Linked DNA regions of Saccharomyces cerevisiae S288C. The protein of the gene in region 1 purifies or fractionates together with the protein of each later gene. This does not show direct contact. Each region holds a gene or a part of one and is shown on either strand. Other genes may lie near its edges.

Region 1 (3,058 bases):
TTTCCAATTATCAGATCAGGCAATTCACCTCTTGTTTTCGGCAAATAGATGGGAAATAGTTGACAAGATAAAGAAAGATTTACTAGAAGGCAAGAACATTGTCATGGACAGATATGTTTATTCTGGAGTGGCATATTCTGCCGCTAAGGGGACAAATGGAATGGATTTGGATTGGTGCTTGCAACCCGATGTAGGGTTGCTGAAACCGGATTTGACATTATTTTTAAGCACTCAAGATGTCGACAATAACGCCGAAAAATCTGGATTTGGTGACGAAAGATACGAAACTGTTAAGTTTCAAGAAAAAGTGAAGCAAACTTTTATGAAGCTATTGGATAAAGAGATAAGGAAAGGCGATGAGTCAATCACGATTGTAGACGTTACTAATAAGGGCATTCAGGAAGTTGAAGCGCTTATTTGGCAAATCGTTGAGCCTGTTTTGAGTACGCATATTGATCATGATAAATTTTCGTTCTTCTAGGAGGATCTGTACATATATCCTAGTCTAGTCTATCTAAAATACTTAGTCTTTCTAACAGCATATCCTTTGAAATTTCTTGTATTTCCCCTCCAATAAACATCTCGTCCATTATCATATAGACTTTGTAAAAGTTGAATACGATATCCAGTTCACAGACATTGCCGAAAAATGCATCTAGCACCTCCACAAACAGATGGATGTGGCACAAATATATGGGTTCATCGTCAAGTAAGTCCACACCCATGACAAAATACAGACCCGCATACCTCCTGTATATGAGTTTCGTCGAATCGGAAAACTCTACGAAGTTACTCTGATGCTTATGATCTCTGGAAGATATGAGTCTATAAATCTGCGCAATGGCATCCTGGCTACGCTGAGGATCCGAACTGTGTACATCGAACCATCTCACCAACCGCACCACACCCTGCTTATTAAAGCACAGTATAAACTGTACTGCCATTTTTTTTATCCCTTACAGCAAACAAGTCTCCGTTCTTCACAAAATAACAGCACCAAACGCTATCTCAAGGCAAACGTTCTTAATGTACCTACTGAATAAACCATTCCTCCCCGTTTGTATCAAAAGTATCCGAAACTGTTCTATGCGTGCAAAATGATATGTCTTGCAAAACTATTGGAAAGACCCTTCCACTACAGGTACAGTTTAGAAATGCCGGAGCTGCAAGTACTACGTGCCGGCAGCATGATAAACATACCCGCGTCCTATAGCCATTCAAGCCTACATATATGGTATATACAACATGAACGCTTTAGTACGGTCACCCCATCTACAAGCATAACCTCTTGGGCAAAGGCGCAAATAGTTGCCACGTGCGAGTGCGGTGCATGGGTGGCTGTCTTTTCGTCATTGGCACGACCCCTTGCAGGTGGGAGGTAGAACCAAATAATATCCGGTTGACGGTAAAAGCAGGTTTATATATAGTGTTAAAGAAAGGTATTGTCACATCCCGTCGCTACCCTTATCCAAACCACGATATCGCACGCACACCAGGAAAGTAAAGTTGTGTAAGCCGTAGCAGTTTTTTACAGGTTAACCGATTGAATAAGATAATGGCGGGAAACGGTAAGGACAAAGAGGTAGATAAAAGTCCCTCTGTTAGTACTTTGAAACTATTGGGAAAACGCCTGTTTAATTCCAGCAGTCACACGGATAACTCTTCGTTACTGCTTAGTGCCGAACAATTGGGCAATGGGAGAAGTTTAAGAAAAAGGCCAACGTCTCCGTCCATTAGTGGCAGTGGTAGCGGTGGTAATTCACCTTCGTCTTCTGCTGGGGCACGGCAGAGATCTGCTTCTTTACATAGAAGAAAAAACAATGCTTCTGTAGGATTTTCAAATGGGTCTGTGTCGTCACACAAGTCCTCTGTCGCATTGCAGGACTTAATTAAACATAATAATAACCCTTACTTGAACTCTCCCTCTGATATTCTGGGCACAGGTACTGGCATTGCCTCGACAAGAGATAGGGATAGAGCAGTTTTGGATAGAGAAAAGGAAAAAGAAAGGGCGAGAAACAAAGAAAGAAATACTCATCACGCGGGCTTACCGCAAAGGTCTAATAGCATGGCTAGTCACCATTTTCCCAACGAGAATATAGTTTATAATCCATACGGCATAAGCCCAAACCATGCTAGGCCAGATACTGCATTTGCAGACACTCTGAATACGAATAAGGAGAACGATTTGAGTTTTTACATGCATGATGGTAACAGCAAGATACGGATGTTGCCCCTTCCAATTGCTAATCCGAACGATTTTTTGCCCGAAGATATGAAACAATATAGTGTCCATTTAACGGATAATTTCGTATTTGATACGGACAATAAACCTATTGGTTCGGGTGGGTCTAGTGAAGTTAGAAAGGTTAAATCAAGTTACAGGCAAAAGGATGTTTACGCTCTAAAAAAACTGAATATGATATACCACGAGTCACCCGAGAAGTTTTACAAGAGATGCTCCAAAGAATTCATCATAGCTAAGCATTTAAGTCATAACGTTCACATCACGAATACTTTTTATCTTCTAAAAGTTCCCACGACCACATATACAACTCGTGGTTGGGGGTTTATTATGGAACTAGGTGTTAAGGACCTCTTCCAACTGATGGAAAGAACAGGCTGGAAGAACGTTCCCTTCAATGAAAAATATTGTCTTTTCAAACAAGTGGCCCAAGGTATTAAGTTTTGTCATGACAATGGTATTGCTCACCGTGATTTGAAGCCCGAAAATGTTTTAATTTCTAAAGAAGGTATATGCAAATTGACGGATTTCGGTATTTCTGATTGGTACCATGTGATACCTCATGACTACACTAGTCCAGTGAAAACATGCCAAGGTATGATTGGCTCTCCACCATACACTCCGCCAGAGGTAATGTACTTCGATGCCAAGAAGCACTACCCCGAAAAGTTCCAAAAACCCTATAATCCGTTGGCCATGGATTCCTATGCCCTCGGAATCATGCTGATTACCATGATTAACAATATCATCCCCTTCATCGATTCTTGTAACACTGATGCGAGATTCAGGGAATTTGAAGTGTCATATGACAAC
Region 2 (4,253 bases), on another chromosome or scaffold:
CGCTAACAACAATGATCGTTCTAATTTCACCGACTCTTTGTCAAGAACTTCCAATTATGATGCCAACGGCTCCTCGTCGACCATAAAAAGATGAAGAGATTATGCCAAAAGAATTGCCCATGCATCATAATAACCATCATCACCGTTCTTATTAGTCCCAGACGCATGAAATCACAGGGGAGAGCAGCTTAAAATTTTTTCTACAGACATACAAGAAGAAATTGCAGTTTTTTTTTTTTTGTTTCTCTAACCTATAAATAAAATGTTTCAATACACATACTAAACAAAGAAAAAAAAATGTAGAGAATTTTATACGCAAAATATATAGACACTTTCCCCTATTTTTATCAATAAAAAAATGAACACATCAATGCCACTACCATCCATGCTCGAACAACATAGAAATGGATTCACCGTTATGGATTCTTCTAATTGCTTCACCGATTATGCAGGAGACATCAATAACATCCACTCTGTCCTTACCTAGGTACTGTAGTGTTCTATCTTGAGGAACCGTGTTAGAAATGATCAACTTATCTATACTACTTTGGCCGATTCTTTCTAGCGCATCACCGGAAAAAACACCGTGCGTTATTAAGGCATAAACTTTGGTAGATCCTTGATCCTTCAACAATTTCGCAGCTCTTGTAATAGTGTATGAAGTATCCACCAAGTCGTCGACTATAATACACACCTTGTTTCTAACATCGCCAACAAGCATGGTAGTTTGAACGAACTTGGACGAATTAGAAGATTGCGACGAGGTGGAAGATGTTGAAGTTGTTTTCTTCATTTCAAGGGCCGCAACCCCAGTGGCACCTGAAGAAGTAGTATTTTGGGAGGAAACCAAAGTAGTAACTAATGGCCTTGGAGATACTGGTAACGAACCACCAGAGGTTAACGTCGCATCTGGAGGGCCCTTCAATAACTGAGATCTTCTTTCTTTATGAATTAGGGCGAAGGACAATTCCAAGGCGTCTGCAATAGCCGTAGCTCTCTTTGCACCACCAGCATCTGGAGAAACGATCACAGCATCCTGATAATCTGGAATGCGATGCTGGATGTAGTTTTGTGCAATGGGTTTACAGTAGAGATTATCCACTGGAATGTCAAAAAACCCAGGGAACTGTGGATCGTGCAAATCCATTGTGATCACATGGTCAGCACCTGCAGCACTCAACAAATGAGCAATCAAAGTACCGGCTTGTACTACCCATAGCTTATAGCCTGCATTTTGAGCGTTGAACAATTCACCAGCGTCCGTGCTATTGCTTGTATTTTGTAACTTACCACCGGGAATCATAGGAATTCTTGAAAAAGAAAGCGTCTTCTTGATGTCGAAATTGTTATTCGCCGTAGCACTGCTGTTTGGTGTTCTGATAGGTTGAGGATTTTCTAAGTTGATAGTTGATCGTATTGCACTATCCAAACTCTTCAACGAGCTCTCAGCACCTGGTCTTTGCGTCATTAAAGAAGATGACACGGGTGTGCCTGGATGCGATTCAAAAGTATAGTTTTCTTTAGGCTTGGAAATTATGGGAGCACCCTTGGCAGTATATGGAATATCTGGCTGTCTCGAGTAGCAGAGATATGGCATTACGGCTGTAACCCTCGAGGCAGAAGCGGACTTGCAGGCACTGATTAAAATCAGCAACTGCATGAACGTGTCGTTCACCTGGCCACAACCACTCTGGATGATATATACATCCTTTTCACGAACAGATTCGCGAAGAGCAATGTTCGTTTCCCCATTAGAAAACTTCCCTAATTCTACTTTCGATGGGTGAATGTCCAAATTTTCACAGATCTTAGTAACTAACTCGGGGTGCGAGTCCCCTCCAAAAACAACAATATTACTCATTGACATCCAGACTGCGTTCCTAGCCTCGTAGCAACCTCCAACAAAGTCACTTTCGACCAACTTACTCTCATCTCATCCAGCCCTTCTCGCTAATCGTAGCCATTTATTATTTGATAGAAAATTTTTTTCAACTGCGGTCGAAGGGTAACAGCCATATTTTCCTTAATTGATTAGTATAGGAGAACTTGATGATAAAGTGTGGAAACCTTTCATAAACGGTTGGAGAAAAGAATCACATAGAGTTATGGTGAGCAATGATTAGTGGTGTGCTGGTATACTCATCGAGAGGTGAACTTGTCTTGAACAAGTTCTTCAAGAACTCGTTGAAGCGGTCCATATCCGATATCTTCCGAGTACAAGTGATCAATAATCTAGATGTTAGATCGCCTGTTTTGACACTGGGCTCAACTACTTTCCATCACATCAGGTCGAGGCATGGTGACAATTTGTGGTTGGTAACCATTACGAGAAGCAACGCTAATAGTGCGGCGATCTGGGAGTTCTTATATAAGCTTGATGCAGTGATGAATGCTTATCGATTGGATAGAGAGGAGGCCTTGAAAGAGGAATTCATGATTGTGCATGAGATGCTGGATATAATGTTGGGTGGAAATGGGATACCAATTGACACTGAATTGAACTCTGTTATAGCGCAGATGTCTGTGAAACCCGTTAGAAATATGGGCGGATTGTTAGATAGTCCCGATGGAAATGATGTATTATCTTCCTCTTCATCTCCTACTTCTTCAGCAGGAGAACTACATTTTCCCAAATTTTTGACAAAAAGAAGCAGTAGTTTCCTGGGTCAAGGAGACTCCACTTCTGATTTCTATGATAACAATAAGATCACTTGGAGGCCCAAGGGGATAATACACAAGAAGGATGAAGTTTTCTTGTATGTCAATGAGAGGATAAACATTCTGGTATCTAGGGATGGTTCTATCTTGAAATCATACGTTGATGGCACCATAGATATCACCACACACTTGAGTGGGACCCCTATTTGTAGATTTGGATTGAATGATTCTTTGGGAATGCAGTCCGAAGACGAGAAGAAATGGTTAGCACAGCAGCAGCGTCACTCTGGCAGCGATTTTGGAAACAAGAACTTCATTCCCAAAGCTGCTGCCGGTAGTGTTTTGTTGGAAGATTGCAAGTTTCACGAATGTGTCTCACTTGACAAATTTAACAGAAATCATATCATTGAATTCGTCCCACCAGACGGTTCGATGGAGTTGATGAAATATCATGTACGAGATAACATAAACCTGCCGTTCAAGGTTACACCTATTGTTACACATTCTACAAGAGATAACGAGATTGATTACAGGATAACATTGAAGTCTTTATTTCCTGGAAAACTTTCCGCCAAAGATGTGGTACTACATATACCCGTTCCACCAAGCACTGTGGATTGTAAGATAAGTGTCTCTAATGGCCACTGTAAGTTTGTGCCAGAAGAAAATGCAATGATTTGGAGGTTCAACAAGTACAATGGGTTGACGGAAAACACTTTAAGTGCAGTTACTGTGTCCACAAGTGATACTACTCAATTGAATCTTCAACAATGGACAAGACCTCCAATATCCCTGGAATTCGAGGTCATGATGTTCAGTAATTCTGGCTTAGTCGTACGATACTTTACCATTTCTGGAAAAGACAGTAAGCATCGTGCTGTAAAATGGATTAAATATATATCGAAAGCCGGTTCTTACGAGGTGAGGTACTAGCCCGTAATTTTTGTGTACATATATTTTTATCATGCCTGTATTTTTTATAGTAATTTCCTTTAGAATGCACATTTTGTTAATATTGAATATTTTCTATTATGAGAGACATGCAATTTAGTTTTTCATTGAAAAGAAAACAGGGAAAAAACATGGAAAAACCATACAAGACACCAAAAACACCATAGTAATGAAGATCAACAGCGCAATCAAGAGGCACTGGTACTTCTAGGCTTGAAAATTTGGTTTTGAATATAATGCCCCCTCAGATTCCCAATGAAAATGATGATCTCTTTACAAGGTGGCTTAAGTCTCGGGCCATCATACAAAGGGCAGTATCGACAAGAGAGTGCTTTGACTCAGAAGTATTTCTGGCGTCTGGTGGCTGGAATATAACGAATGAGATAATAACGTTAAAGAAATATTATCAACTCAAGTGGCCAAACTCCAGTTGCAATTCGTTTCATCCAAAAACCGTGGAGTTTATTAAAGAACGATTACACAACCTAGAAGAACATGACTCTTCATGGAAAATCCCAAATCCTGCTTACTCATTCAAGAAAGCCTTCTTGGAGGATACTAAATCTGCATTTTCCAACTTAGAACCCGTCTGGGGACCATCAAGGCTTTTGAATCCAGCTGAATTACTATTGCCACAGGACGAA

Evidence for each region.
Region 2: the proteins of APS2 (region 1) and APM4 purify together in Saccharomyces cerevisiae (affinity purification with western blotting; 2 studies listed by BioGRID, with this or other methods). This does not show direct contact.

Annotation. Positions count from the first base shown.
Region 1 is NC_001142.9:544,232-547,289, forward strand, and holds APS2 (Aps2p), read right to left. Parts: upstream 945-3,058; coding exon 501-944; downstream 1-500. Other genes in the region: CDC8 (bifunctional thymidylate/uridylate kinase), read left to right, coding at 1-481; protein kinase PTK2, read left to right, coding at 1,556-3,058. UniProt on the Saccharomyces cerevisiae protein: Component of the adaptor complexes which link clathrin to receptors in coated vesicles. Clathrin-associated protein complexes are believed to interact with the cytoplasmic tails of membrane proteins, leading to their selection and concentration.
Region 2 is NC_001147.6:209,858-214,110, reverse strand, and holds APM4 (Apm4p), read left to right. Parts: upstream 1-2,115; coding exon 2,116-3,591; downstream 3,592-4,253. Other genes in the region: MAM3 (Mam3p), read left to right, coding at 1-94; ribose phosphate diphosphokinase subunit PRS5, read right to left, coding at 377-1,867; CRT10 (Crt10p), read left to right, coding at 3,846-4,253. UniProt on the Saccharomyces cerevisiae protein: Component of the adaptor complexes which link clathrin to receptors in coated vesicles. Clathrin-associated protein complexes are believed to interact with the cytoplasmic tails of membrane proteins, leading to their selection and concentration.